2 linked regions of the Astyanax mexicanus genome follow. The protein of the gene in region 1 binds, or shares a complex with, the protein of each later gene. Links are inferred from orthologs where the notes say so. Each region holds a gene or a part of one and is shown in the gene's direction. Other genes may lie near its edges. The genes, in order: bbs4 and bbip1.

Region 1 (8,256 bases):
CACTATTTAAAACTGAATGTTTGAACTAAAAATGTAATAATATAATCATCATTTTAAAAATGTGTTATTTAACCACTTTATCATCCACCTTAACCAGGCAGTACTGTGTATAATGCAAAAAGGCGCCCCCCCCACACCACAGAAAACTGTATAAAATGTACAGAAAGTTCTTTAAAGTGAAAATTAACATTTCTTTATATGTGTAATAACGTTTTCAACAAAGTAGATCTTGGGAAATGTGTTACAGAGTGATAAGAGTGAGAAAAATTAAACTAAGGGACAATAATAATAATAATAACAATAATAATAATATATGCAAGCGGCAATCTGCGGGTTCAAGCACCAATAGAATAGTGATGTGTGAAAAGGTCTAATGTAATTGGAGATGCCCTGTCACATTTAGAAATTATCAAAAGTTTTTCACCTGTTATTAATATTGAGCAGAGGCCTTTCAACATGATCAGTGCTTAAATTCACATACAAATCTATTGAAGTTTGTAGGATATTCATCAAGTGAGTTAGAACTAGTCAAAAGGTGTCTACATGTTATGGGTATTGATCAGGTGGCTTCAACCAGAATGTTCCCAAAGTGGTGTTCAGATTGACCTTTTGACCTTTGCAAAACAAGCTGAAATGTTTGACTAAACAAGTTTAAATTAACACAAACGAGTGCATTGTCTGACATGACATGTAACTACAAAGTTATTCTAAATCTAGTTCTGAATTAAATGGCACTTCATCGAGCCCCAACTGGCACAATGGTGCCTACTAGAGCATAGGATGATGATGTGTAAGAAGGTCTAGCATAATTGGAGACACACTGTCACATTTAGAAATGATCAAAAGTCTTTCACCTGTTATTAATGTTGAGAAGAGGCACAAAGGAGTGCATGTTCTGATATGACATGTAATTACAAAGTTATTCTAAATCTAGTTCTGAATTAAATGGCGCTTCATCAGAGTGATTTTGTACAGAGGTCTTTAACATTGTGAGATTACAGCAAATACTGCAGAGTTACAGCAATTTAGGTTAGAAATTCCAAGGACGCACAGATTGCTTGATGCCTGGACAGTATTGTATGTGAAATTTTCACAAATGTTTTTAATGAACATTTACCTAGAGACTCTACAGTGTGCAACATAACCGAAATGGAGGTGATATGCCAAATATCCAGAGACCAGTTTCAATATAGCTATTTTCAAACAACTAGCAATTATGAATAAACAAAGCACTTTTTAAACATAGTTGTATTGACAAATTTGTCAGAGCCACTGTACTAAATATGGCAAAAATAATGTGATGTCAAAATAGTACAGCATGATTGACATATACTCGTTTATGTCCCCCAGTGGCCGGATTGTTTCAGGACTGTGCAGGTCACTACAGTGTCTCCACCTGAAAATAACTGCCAAATGTGATCCAGATTGTTCAACATTCAGCCTGCCAAAATGTCTGCTGAATGCTGATTGGCTGATGGTGTTCAGCCATGTTGATTGATTCAGTTGCCCTTTGACCATCCTTTAGAGGATATATGATATATTCTGTATGCAAATTTTCAGCTTGCTAGGTTGCACGGTTGCTGAGAAACAGTGCTCCAAATTTAACTGTTGGAGTGAATAGGGCATATATCCGGAAGGGCTAATTTGCATATGACGGCCATATTGTGTACAAATTTCAACATTTTTGATGAATATTGAAGAGCATGGTCTCCTGAGTATTTTGATACCAAACATGTCAGGATTGGTCAAAATACCTAGGACTAGTTCGCAAAAGTATGTTTTGCATATTATGCAAATTAGCAAAAAATCTATATAGACGGAAGTGCATGATTGTAGGTATTGGCCCAAGGAATCCATCAAAAAAAGAATTGTGAATGTAGGTCTTATGGTTTTTGAGTTATTGAGAAAAATGTGAAAAATGAATTTCCTTGTTTATAGAGCCACCACTTGACCAATCGGTGCCATTTTTGTTGTCCGCCGAGATGCACTGATCCTACATCTACCTACCAAGTTTCATATCTCTACGACTTACAGTTTAGGCTGCACAACTGCTTTTTCAGAGGAAAAAGAATAATAATAATAATTATAATAATAATAATAATAATAAGAAGAAGAAGAAGAAGAAAAATCTTAGCAAAAACAATAGGGTTCTACGCACCTTCGGTGCTTGAACCCTAAAAATTTTAGCAAAAACAATAGGGTTCTACGCACCTTCGGTGCTTGAACCCTAAAGATTCATAAAAACATTCTTGAATGCTTATTTCTGATTATTTGAACATTTAAACGTTTGAGAATTCAAATCTAATTCTGAGACTGTGTAATTCTATTACATTTTAAAAGCTAATATTTTTAAAGCTTTAAATCTAATAAAGTACATTTAAAGTTAAATCAAAAGTTAAAAAACTGGTGTGAATGCTGTTAATAATTTAAAGAACTAAATAATATTTGAATATGTGACTAGAGTAATAACAATAATATAATTTATCTATTTATTTATTTATTTATTTATAAAGCACTTTTTATTCATAGAATGCAGCTTTAAGATTCAAAGTTTTTACAACATAATGTAATAAGAAACAGGATTAAGCAATGCAAAAAACTTACTTTTAAATGGGTTTGTAACAAGTCTTAATTAAGCTAATTAAGCTTATAAAAGTTAATTAAACTTATAAAAAAATAATTAATGAAAGTGTAATGTAAGGAAACTTTATTTCTATAAAAATTATAAAGTAAACTTATGAACTTTTAAAAGATATAATTCAATTATGAACTCTAAAAATATTAGGTAAACTTATGAACTCTATAAAATGATAAAGTACTCTATACAAATATAGCTAGTTAATTCATGGACTATAAAAATATAAAGTAAACTCATCAGTAATAGACAGATATATACAGATTAATAAATAAACGATACATGGGGATCAGATGCGACGTCTTAAGAGTTTTACACTGTGCGTTATATAGGACTAACTTAAGCTGTCACGTGACTCAAGACAACAAAATACAAACTCCACCCAAAGACAACAGGGGGTTTTATATATGAATGCAAAATATCATTGTACAACGACATATCTAATATGCTACGGTGTAATAATATCAGCTGCAACAGTGAAAGTGTGTGATAACTGTTTGCCTCGGCGCTGAACAGCGACACCTGATGGTGATTTTTTCAGTCTCAGTTAAAAAAAAAAAACTAAACTGAAAGAGCCTGAGGTCTGTATTTACTTCTTCAATATTATACAGTAGCTGAAAAGAAAAAAAAATCTAAGGTATTCACAAACTTTTATGCACCACTGTATAACAGTTTCAAACATTTAGCAGGAGCAAAAAAATCTAAACTTTTTTGTAATATTTTGTACCAACAGCTACAAAACAAGAATAAGAATAATAATAAGAATAATAATAACATATCAACAAATCAAAATGTAAATAAAACAATGTAAAAGAGCGAAAAAAGCTACCGAAATACTAAAGTGCAGAGTATTTGGTGCATGCACGTGAACTGCAAATATAAACAATTATATGGTTGACAATTTGAATAATTTTTGCGAAAAGTTGCCATGGCATATCAGAGGTCCAGGGAATTTTTAGGATGTCAGACTGGAATGGGGAGGTTCTTCAGGCATGTTCCTGCTTCCAGAACTTAGTTATTTTATAACAATACATCATTATATGAGTACATACCTGTCAAGTCTCCCGTTTTGGCCGGGAAACTACCGTATTTTACTCCTCTTTCCCGTCGTCCTCCCGTATTAGTATTTTCCCGTAAATTTCCCGTATTATACTAAATAAAAAAAATATATAGGCCACAGGCGACAATGCACTGTGTGTCTCTTAACCAATCGTGTTGCCGGTTCAAGGAGAAAGTCCCGCCTTTCAGGAGAAACAGCCAATCAGATTGCTGGTTTTGCGGAGCGCAGTTTAGTGTCGGGCAGAGCCAGCCCCGCCCCTCCCCTCGCTGTGAGTTCAGGCAGCTAGTCGGAGCAGCTGTCGTTAAAACTAATCTGGATATACGGAGATTTTTCTAAAAGAAAGGTAACTAACCATGTAAACTGTGATGAGATTGTTTCTGATAGCTGGTTAAAAAGACTCTTCTCTGAATCAAAACATAAATTCAACCCATTGTGTGTTTAATAAAATACAGCTTGTGACTCAGTTAGCTTAACTTTAGAATTAGCTAGATAGATATTCAGGGTTTGAGAAAAATCTACATACATATAATGCCCTGCCCTGATGTGCCTGATCAGCCAAAACATATAATTTCCAAACTCTATTAGTTCAGGGCTAGTTTTAGGGTTTGTTAGAATTTGTTTAAATCTCAAGTATTGTGGTGTAATGTATTATTTAGAAGGGGTAGAAGAGATGGTTGAGCTGGAGAGAGAGAGAGAAAATGTGGAGAGGGCTGAAATTAACTGAACTGATCAGGAGTGGACTGAATGATAGAAAGAAGTATTAATGAAAGATTATTAATTGTGTAGGCCCCTTAGGACTATTATTTACTTATGGAATATATCTGATCCATGTCCTTTTTGTAAATTTGTGCACCCTTCAATTTCAATTTTAAATCTATTAAATAATAATAAAAAAATATATATGTATATATGTATATATATATATATGTGTATATATATATATATATATATATATATATATATATATATATATATATATACACATACATATATATATATATATATATATATATATATATATATATATATATATATATATATATATATATACATTTTTAGCCCTCGGTTGGGCTGTTGGGGCGGCGGAAAAAATCCCTTATTTTTAAGTCCAAAACTTGACAGGTATGTATGAGTATATATACTTTTTCTTTTATCTACATTATTTTATGTGTAGATTTTAAATTATTTTAAGCTCTATATATTATCAAACTAGTTCATAGTATTTAATCACCAGAGTTTTATTACGTTTTAGGGGGGACTTTTGACAGAAAATCGTTTTGGACTCGTTTGGATGGGGGCGGGACTAGTTACTATGGTAACGGCCGTGCGTTTTCAGGGGCCGCGTAGAAACCGGAAGTGTGTTTTCTGGAGCTGGAGGGATGGCTGATGAGGAGACGGTTAAAGCGGTGAGAATGGGGCTATGGAGCTGCAGCGGCTCTCAGTGAAACTCTGTAGCTGTAGCTGTGTATAAAGTGTGTGTTGGTGAAGCGGGGCAGTGGATATATATAGCGGGGCGGTTCGCTGGGAGGGTCTGTCTGAACAGCGGAGCTGCAGATCAAGCGCGTCTGTTAGCCAGCAGCGCTGCTAATGATACGATTTAAACCCATTAAACAACAGCTACAGTGTCTCAGATAACCTACTGTTTAACCCCTGTAGCTGCCTGACTGTCTGAAATACAGCCACTAACTAAGCCTAACTAAGCTTTAGTGTTTATGCTACCGTTACCGTTAACTCAGTTTAGGCTGTTTTTTGTGGTAAAGCTCATTTCAGTCTTTCTGTACTTGTTACTCGTCTGCAGGGGCTGGTAGGCTATTGAGAACACACTAAAATATCGAGTCTTTCATAAAATAAAGTTTTAGTTAGCTCTTATTTCTGTAGCTACCCACCTTCTGACAGTCAGTTCATTCATCCTGTCTCTGCTCACGGTATTAGCCACACTATACAGCTCTGTACAAAAAAAAAGACCACTTAAACTTGATTTTACCAAATTGAAAACCTCTGGAATATAATCAAGAGGAAGATGGATGATCACAACCCATCAAACCAATCTGAACTGCTTGCATTTTTGCACCGGGGGTGGCATAAAGTTATCCAAAAGCAGTGTGTAAGACTGGTGGAGGAGAACATGCCAAGATGCATGAAAGCTGTGATTAAAAACCAGGGTTATTCCACCAAATATTGATTTCTGAACTCTTAAACCTTTATGAATATAAGCTTGTTTTCCTTGCATTATTTGAGGTGAAAGCTCTGCATCTTTTTTGTTATTTCAGCCATTTCTCATTTTCTGCAAATAAATCCTCTAAATGATAATATTTTTATTTGGAATTTGGGAGAAATTTTGTCCATAGTTTATAGAAAAAAAACAATGTTCATTTTACTCAAACATATACCTATAAATAGCAAAATTAAAGAAACTGATTCAGAAACTGAAATGGTCTCTTATTTTTTTCCAGAGCTGTTTGTTCAAATGGTTGTGGACACTCCTTCTAATGACTGCATTCAGCTTATTTAAGTTACAAACACCCATTGCTCACACAAGCTGGAAATGCATACACAGCTTGTCTACTGTCATTAGAATGTGCAATGTGAGGGCTAGAGGGGAATAAAAGCCTTGATTTGGACAGTTAGGCATAAGATGGGTGAAATTTATCAACATCTGGGCCTTACTAATACTAACCTAATGCTGAATACAATAAAACCTCCCGGCAATGTTTCAGAATTATGCCTTCCATGGAGAGCAGAAACAGTTACTCCAACAAAATAAACTATTATTTAATACCATTTTTAATCCCTATTTGTATCTATGCAGTGTATATATAATGACATCGTCTTTCTGTTCACACAGTGGTTACTTTGTGCATGAAAATAATCTGACAGTATCACATGGTACTCTAGTCACACTGTAAAATTAGTCAAAAAGTTTAGCATTTGTTTAATATTGAAATATTGTATTATGTTATTCATTTATGCTGAACATTTTGATAAATTAATTTGTATGAATTTATTTGTTTTAGGATGCTCCGCTGCCGGTGGCCACTGACCCTAAGAAGCCTCGTCTTAAAAAAGGTTTGTTAGATTAAAAAGACAGCTGCTGAACACCAGTATCTAGTATTTAGCCTATAAGAAGATTAGAGAGGGCTTAAAACAGTGGCCATATATGTTACGGCGACATATTCTCTTCTATTTACATTAAGATATTACAGTTATAATAATGTGACAAGTGTTTGATTCATGATGTGATTAATTAAATTCTTTGATCTAAACTAGACGTGACGCAAAATTATATTAATTAAATATTTGATATTGATTTGCTGATAGGTAGATTATAGACTTCTTGGCTGTAGTGGCAACAGTTATGTGTTTTATACGTTTCATTGCATCTAGAAACTATGCAGTTATTGGTGTGATTAATAGTAATGAAACTTCAGGTAGATTTACTACTAATTCTTATTTTTTGTATTTCATGTGCATATCATTTGCATATCATTGTTTTCATTGAATTTCATTCTTGGCATGCCTCAATTTTTGCAGATTTTTTTTTTCGCTTGCAGTTGTTGTTTACATTGTATCAAAACTTTCTGAGGAATTAACCAACAGTAATGCTCCACAATTACTTGGAATAAAATATTTTTTTCATTGACCTCCACGTTAAGAGTTTAAGAGAGATTATTTTTTTCTACTTTTGTAAATTTGTCATTTGAAGATGCAAGGTTTTTGTATAAAAAGTGTTTCAGAGCTTTGTCCCTGCTCCAATTCGTCTCAATTGCCATTCTCTCCTTCCTCCTGTGGGTGGTGCTGATTGGCTGAGTTTTCTTCTCCAGTCTCCGATTAGCCTTGAAGAGGATTACAGCTCAGGGAGAAAAGTCTGTCCAGGAATAGAACTGCTTGAAATCAGATTTTGCCAGCAGCCTTATGAGCCAGCTAAGTAAGATGCAGATGCAGCCCCTCACTGTAGATGCTTCCTTTGTTGCGGTGCCTGTTGGGTTTAGAATGGGGGAGCTTTACATGGTCTCCAGCAGTGAGGAGGGAGCACAGCGGCAGAGTGTTCCTTATCAGAGACACTGAAAAATGTGCCTTCTGTCAGAAAATGCAGTCGCTAAAACATGCATGTCTTTATTCATGTCAGACTGCGTCAGATTATGTGTAAACTAAGTAATGTGGAACTTAGCTTGAACCCTGAGCTAAGTAATCCTGTTGTTTTGTGTCTATTGAAGTCGGCGCTTAATATTTTAGAAGATGAGGCATGCTCTGAAGTGAACTTTGGAGGCAAAAGGCTGAATATGTCTCTGAACAGAAGGCCCCCTTTTTTATGGTGCAAATCTATCAAGAAAGATTTCAAGGGTTAACACCCTGTCTTGAGTGTTTTAGTCTGGCTCTGTAAGTATTACTCATGTGTGACTGATCTGTTATGCGCAGCTAATTGCTTTGTCAAACTTTTGCAAAAGGCTTAAAATACACATGCTAAAATTTCAGGGGTAATAATCTAGGAACTATGACATGTAAAGCTTTATTGATCACTCGCTTTTGGACCCTGAACACCAGCTCTACAGCCAAGAAAGCC
Region 2 (7,719 bases), on another chromosome or scaffold:
GGAACGGTGATCTCACACAAAAAGGGAGGGAGAGAACATTACTGAGAGAAAAGACACAAATACAAAACACCTGAACACACGGATTTATCTGGAAATGCAGCAGAAATGTTCTGTTGAGTCAGAAAGAAGTCCACACTGAGGCCTTCAGAGGTCTGGAATAAAAACATCATATATTGAGCTATAGCTAACTAACCCAGGTTACAGCTTCAGATCTGACTGTCACTTTATTAACTAGCTAAGCTAAGCTACTTCCCTTGCTCTCAAAAAATAACCTCAGCCAAAAGACGACCTCATTTATGGCCTAAAAGATACAATTCATGTTGACAGACGGTTTGAACGTGTATTAAAAAATCATTAGCTTTGTTTTAAGGAGGGAAGATTGGGAGAAAGTCACCCAAATGTCTTGTTTTGATAGTCAATAGTCAATACAGCAGCTAGCTAACGTTAGCTGGCTAAATTAGATAGTTAGCTCAGCTAAGCTAGCTGACCGACTAAAAGAAGAAGCCCTTATTATTTAGCCTAAGCTATCATTAGCTTAGCTATTTTCCGAGCTATTTTCCACTGAATTCTAGTTTAACGTTGCCTTAACCCTGCGCACACGATTTACTTTAAAATAAATTAGAGATTTATCTAGATAGTACAGCTGGTAAGCTAGCGAGTTAGCTAGTTAACTATATAACTCGGCCAGTACACTAACGTTAGCCACCCTTTTTAGCCTAGCCCACCTAGCTAAGCTAAGCTAACTAGCGTTAGGTATTTCTTTAGCGTTAGCTTGGATGCTAATGTGAACTCGGTGAAGGAAAAACGGTCGAAAAACGAGCTTTAAATCAGTAGAAATTAAAATTCTTATACTTGTGTTTATTATTTAGAACATTAACTATTAATAATGCGCGTACCTTGCTGTTATACCGCTGTATAGTTCGTGTCACAGCGGGGGAAGCTCGCACTCACAAGCCTGAGAGGCTCCGGGTCTCTCCCGCAGGGCCTCGCTCTCTCTCCCGCAGCAGCTGTCACCCACCAACCAGCGCTCCAGCCGCGGCGGGGGCAGAGCGCAGCCCAGGCCGGGAGAGGCGGCGCCAGCGTCGGTGTTCTGTCGAGTCGTGCTACCCTGTCAAACTCTGCTACTCTAGTGTGTGTTTAAACGTAAAAAATGTCGAAAAAAGCACCATATTTTAAAATACTGTCGGTAGGATATTTGGAAAGCCTGAATATATATACCAGGATACAGTTAATGGTTAATATGAGTGATAACCTTTTTTTGTATTTTTAATTGCTCACTTATTATTACTGCCATTCCATCTTTAACTCCCCCTCATCATTGTTGTACTATTGTATTGTATCTCTTACGTATGTCTATATCTATCCTTGTTGTATTGTACTTTTTGTGTCTCTAATTCTTTTATATTTAGAATCTTATTATTACAGTAACGTTACTTGCTGTAACAGCAATTTCAATTCTCTGTATATCCTGTATACAACGATATGCAGTATTGACAATAAACCTACTTAATATGATCATTGTTATTAATTATATAACGTTAGTAATAATAATAATAATAATAATAAACAATTATTATTATTTTTATTAACTGTCATTTACACATTTGTAACACTTAGATAAAAAATGACATAAGGATAAAGGAGGGCTCGTGTTGTTGAATGCACCCAAGTAAAATTTAGTAGAACTACCATAAAACACGCATAAAATAAATTTGGGTCAGCGCATGCGCACTGGTGTTGATAAGCACATTTCGATGGGTAGCACAACTCGACACAACACCGGCCACGGTATTCAGCTATTCCCGCTGGCAGGGAGCAACAGTTCCAGAGAACTATATAATAAGCTGCAGCTAAACCTCGTATTTCCTGCCCGTTTTCTCTCGTTTGCTTGCTTTAGATGAGTACTTTGAGTGATCGAGCCGAGCTCGGTAAAAACACTTTCTTTCTCTCTCTTTCTATACACACACACACACACACACACACACACACACACACACACACACACACACACACACACACACACACACACACACACTCTCTCTGACAATCTGACTAGTAGACATGTGGTATGTATGGGCCTAAGCTTAAAACCACATAGATATATATTCATATAATCAGAGTAGCTCCTGTATGTGTTTATTTTAACGCATTTCCCTGAATCATTACGCTGATTTCTGCTGGTCCCCATACCGCAATAGGGTCTGATGATGTGTAAACAGATGAGTGTTGTGCCAACAATGTGATAAATACCAACATACACACACACACACACACACACACATACGAGCGGCCATTCCGGGGCTGAACAAAAGAGCCCTCCGATCCGCGGTCACGGAGAGCCCCAGCGAGCGGCGGGTGGTTCGGTTACCCGCTTCTCCCCCGCTACTGTATGTCAGCAAGTCCCCGACCGACCGACAGCCGTCAAACCCCCGTAAAGCCCCGCGATCGGCGGCGTTACCTTCCGAGGTGTTGCTGCTCCGCCATCCCCGCTGCTGCTTCCTCCTCCTCCACCGCCTCCTCCTCCTCCTTCTCTCCGCTCCGCCGCCGCTCGTGCTGCTGCTGCTGCCGCTGCGGCGCGCGACCCGCCCCTGCCGCCCTGCCTGCGTCACACGCACCGAAACACACGCACGCGCTGCTGCCCGACACATCGCGAGACGTCGTGAATACGGACCCCTAAAACCGTAATACACACACACATACTATACACACACACTACTACACACTTACTATACACATATTACTACACACATTACTATACACACTACTACACACTTATTATACACACATACCATACACACACTTACTATACACACATTACTATACACACTTACTATACACACTACCACACTTACTTTCTATACACACATTACTATACACACATTATTATACACACTACTACACACATTACTATAGACCCTTACTATACACACATTACTACACAAATAACTACACACATTACTGTTACACACTTATTACTACACACATTACTATACACATATGACTGTACACTTACTATACTCACATTACTATACACACATTACTATACACATAACTACACACTTTACTGTTACACACTTATTACTACACACATTACTATACACATATGACTGTACACTTACTATACTCACATTACTATAAACACATTACTATACACTTGCTTACTATACACACATTACTATACATTACTATACACACATTACTAAAAACACTTACTATACACACACATTACTAAACACTTACTGTACACACACTATTACACACTTACAATGCACACATGAGATATTATGCACTCATTGCACAGTATACACTTAAAATGTATGTGAACCCTTTTCATTGTTTTCTGCGTAATTCTGATATAAAATGTGAAATGCTTTTCATCCAAGCCAAGAGTAATGTATAGTTTTTTTTTAATATATTTTACACACCCTTATTCAACACTCAAAGTGGTAGTTAAAAAAGTAAGTAAATCATTGGAATCAATAGCTGGTTTAAGTTCATTATTATAACATTATGCCTTATTTTAGCTTGTACAAATTTACTGAACTGTTTAAATAATTATTTAGATGTGTATAAAGAAAACATTTGTATGAGGATATTAAATTTCATCTTGTGTATATAATATTTACCTAGAATTATAATCAAATTTATAGAACTGGGCTGTGATGTGCTATGATGTGATGTGATGAGCTATGATGTAATGTGCTATGATGGGCTGTGATTTGATGTGTTATGATGTGATGTGATAAGCTATGATGTGTTATGATGTGATGTGTTAAGATATGAAGTAATGTGTTATGATGTGATGTGATAAGCTATGATGTAATGTGCTATGATGTGTTATGATGTGATGTGATAAGATATGATGTAATGTGTTATGATGTGATGTGATAAGCTATGATGTAATGTGCAATGATGTGTTATGATGTGATGTGATAAGATATGATGTAATGTGTAATGATGTGATATGATAAGCTATAATGTAATGTGCTATTATAGGCTGTGATTTGATGTGTTATGATAGGCTATATGCCAGACCTAAACTACACTACACTATTATTACTGTTCTCTCACAATAATTAACTAATTTTTAAGTGATTGACACCGCGAATATAATTTAATTTTAACTATATAATGCTGATATTTCTTTAAAATAACTCAAACACTAAAATACATCCAGTAATATGATTAGGGAAAAAATATTTGTATTTTAAGCAGTTAAAGTAATGCTGTTGATGACAGTAGGAGTGAACCCTGCTTTCAGCATTTAATAACAAAAGAGCTCGAGCACTGTTACAATATTCCATCCCAAAAAAACAAAACATGATTATAATGAAGATTTATTGTTATTATGAGGTTGATAAAGGTGAGGATATCCAGAAAAAAACAGCCTCTTTATTTTTTCAACCAAATGTGCCGAAAACCGTTAATGAGCTGTAATGAGCAGGTTCGGCCGGTGGGGGGCGGGAGCGGGTCACTGACTCAGACTGCAGCTGATCTGAGAGCAGAAGGAGAGACAGGAGAGCAGATCAGCGCGGCTGAAGGTAAACTGAGTCAGAAATTCGGTTATTTTATAATATTTATACTGTTTATAGCGGTTTAAATCTGTTTATAACTGTTTAAATCGGTGTATAATTGTTAATAGCTGTTTATAGGTGTTCTGGTGCCGGTATTAGTGTGTTTTACAGCGCGTTTAAACAGAGAGAGGGTGTAGGAGAGCTCGGGTTACTGTGGGGATTAAAGCGATCCTGTAGATCAGCTGTTTTTAAATCTCTATTTTATTAATGAAATCCGCTGTGATACGATTTATTAATAAAGCTCGTACTAATATACCATATTTATCATATAATAAAGCATCCAAACAGGCATGGGTTATTATACTTTTTAATTGATTATAATTTGTTCCAGGATTTATTGCGTCGAACGAGTTTATTGTAATGTTAATATAAATATAATGATAATGTGTAAGTGTATATATACGTATGTGTGTATATGTGCAATATTTTTATATACCACTCCGTAAAAAAATGAGACCACTTATATATGATCAGTTTCTCTGATTGTACTGTTTATGGGTTCATGTTTGAGTAAAATCAACATAATTGTTTTTATTCGATAAACTACAGACAACATTTCTCCCAAAGTCCAAATAAAAATTTTGTCATTTTGAGCATTTATTTGCAGAAAAGGAGAAATGGCTGAAATAACGAGAGAAAAAAACAGTAACGTTACTGCTGTTAGACTTCAAATAATAAAGAATAATCTTGGCATCATGCTCTCCTCCACCAGTCTTACACACTGCTTTTGAGTAATTTTATGCTTATTAAACTACTGGCAAATATTCAAGCAGTTCAGCTTTGATTGATGTTTTGTGATCATCCATCTTTCCATATTCCAGATGTTTCTGAGTTAAAATATTAGAATTGTATTGCAATTGTATTGTAAATGCTGTTACTATTTTAATTTTTTAATTTGGGAGAAATGTTGTCAGTAGTTTTAAAATAAACAGAACAGTTCTACAGGTAATGCCTGTTAACAGCACATTGTACATTATTTGCACATCCAAACAACATATAAACATGTCTACAAATAAAAGTTGGACAGTAATGTGTGCACAACTGATTTAATGGTGAGACTTTCCCCACATTCTGAGATGGAAATCTGAATTTTAAGGCGTTTCAGTTCAGATTTCCTATTTTGAACATAGCATTTTCATTGGATAGAGTTTCCGTCTTTTCAGCATCCAGTCAGCATGATGTGTGCTGTTCACTAGCTGAAGAGATTATATACAGGTCGGGTAGGGTTGGCTCTTAAAAGGCTTTAACTAGTGGGGAAAATAAACGTTTCCACTCAGACTGCTTGTGACTAACTTTTATTTTGTTGTTTTGTACACGAGGTGCGATGCCTGAGGTCAAGTCAATGTTCAGGGAGGTTCTGCCCAAACAAGGTGAGATGGAGCGCCCATACCTGATTTACTGAGAGAATACAGGTCTAAATAAATAGCCTGTAATCAAACACCTCTGTTTATCTAAACATAATCAAATATACAGTTATTTTGAGACACTGAAGCAAAAAAACTGTCCCATACATTATCGTACGCAATAACATTGCCAACATTTTTGAATATGGTGAACGATATCATACCCTGAAATATCGTTTCATATCACCCGCCTAGTGCTGAGCGATTTTTTTTTTATATCACGATAACGATTTATATAATGATGTACCACATTTTAGTATGTTTTCAGTTATTCTTTGAAAAATGTGACAAAACAATATCATTGCTTACTTTTTTCTAATTTTATTTCAAAGTTACATTAAACCAAACTTTCACAAATGAGAATTACTACCTTTTAGTGCAAACAGATGAAGTAGATGCAGTAGCCAATTTTTTTTTAAAAGAACAATGCATCTCCATTGTTCAGCTCTCATGAGTTTAATAACATAAAGCACGTCGTAAACCGGCATGTCCGTGCATGACCCTTAAATAACGTAAAGCAGCGTCATGTCGCAAAACCACATTATGAAGCTTTTTTTTTTTTGCAAAGATTACTTTATTATCACTTATAAAAACCGAGTTTATGCAAAGTGACCACGCCAATACATTTCAACATAGCCTACTTTATATATTTGCATGAGTAATTGATGAAATTACTGTAGAAATGATAGAGATGATAGAAGATAAGTAGCACGATAAACACTTTTCTATCCTCCCCACAATATTTATCATCATATCGCACAGCACTAATTATCACATCAGTGTTGTACTTTTTTTATTTTTTTTTTTTAACTTTTTATCAAAAGAAAAATTCACACTGTTTTCATTTCCCACTATATATCTACTAGAGACAGATTATATCTGTCCAGTATTATTTATTTTACTTTAATCCTAGATATATGGAGATATTTGGAGTGCTTTATTATTATTATTATTATTATTATTATTATTATTATTATTATTATTATTATTATTATTATCATGACTAATAATTCTGGATCATTGACTTCTGTTACAGATCTGATAAAATTCTTGTTTTGTTTATATCTCTGTTAGGGGTGTGACATATCATATATATATGCAATAGTAAAATGTCATTTTCATTTTGTTGCAGTAGTGTATTCTTAAAATATATTTAAGCATTAGTCTTGTAGTTATTCCTGAACATTAAACCAGGCCTGACTGATTAAATTATATTTGTGTTATTTTGAGTTGATTAAATCATATATTCTGGGTATATTGGTTTTCTGTTTTTTTATCGTCTGTTCAGGCCAGTTGTCCATGGAGGATGTTCCCACCATGGTCCTGTGCAAACCCAAGCTCCTGCCCCTGAAGTCGGTGACTCTGGAGAAGCTGGAGAAGATGCAGCAGGAGGCGCAGGAGGTGATAAAGCAGCAGGAGGTGGCGCTCAGGGAGCAGCGGCAGCAGAACCAGCCCGAGCCGGAGCAGTAGCACCATGAGGAGGTGCAGCACAGGAGTGTGAGGAGCACACCTTCATCACAACCTCGTATCACAACCTGCTTAGCTTACACCAATTTAGCCCCGCCCACTCGCTAAAGGTGTGTTTGACTGGACTTTGTTTTTTTATGTGAAAAACAACCACATAAACACACAGAATGTTGAACCACCCTGGCAGTGGCAGGTTTCTTCAGTCAAAGAAACAACATTTTGATCTACTGGTTGAGAACCCTAGACAGAAAACACAGTAGGATTAGCCAGTAGAC

The links.
Region 2: the proteins of bbs4 (region 1) and bbip1 are in contact, whole or in part, in a cryo-EM structure (PDB 6VBV), measured with the Bos taurus proteins. The link is inferred for Astyanax mexicanus from reciprocal best matches to the Homo sapiens genes BBS4 and BBIP1. Residues at the interface, in NP_001069424.1 of Bos taurus: Leu210, Leu213, Tyr236, Leu240, Ala241, Ser244, Gln247, Thr248, Ser269, Pro271, Asn274, Asn275, Met278, Phe281, Gly282, Lys284, Tyr298, Leu299, Pro301, Leu302, Asp303, Trp304, Lys305, Ile306, Tyr308, Asn309, Leu312, Leu315, Thr316, Gln318; in XP_003587939.1 of Bos taurus: Met7, Phe8, Arg9, Glu10, Val11, Leu12, Pro13, Lys14, Gln15, Gly16, Gln17, Leu18, Tyr19, Val20, Glu21, Asp22, Leu28, Lys30, Pro31.

Annotation. Positions count from the first base shown.
Region 1 is NC_064409.1:48,864,196-48,872,451, reverse strand, and holds the start of bbs4 (Bardet-Biedl syndrome 4 protein), read left to right. Parts: upstream 1-5,001; 5' UTR 5,002-5,074; coding exon 5,075-5,101; intron 5,102-6,709; coding exon 6,710-6,761; intron 6,762-8,256.
Region 2 is NC_064430.1:22,198,387-22,206,105, reverse strand, and holds the start of bbip1 (BBSome-interacting protein 1), read left to right. Parts: upstream 1-4,462; 5' UTR 4,463-4,541; intron 4,542-5,893; 5' UTR 5,894-5,898; coding exon 5,899-5,944; intron 5,945-7,265; coding exon 7,266-7,447; 3' UTR 7,448-7,719.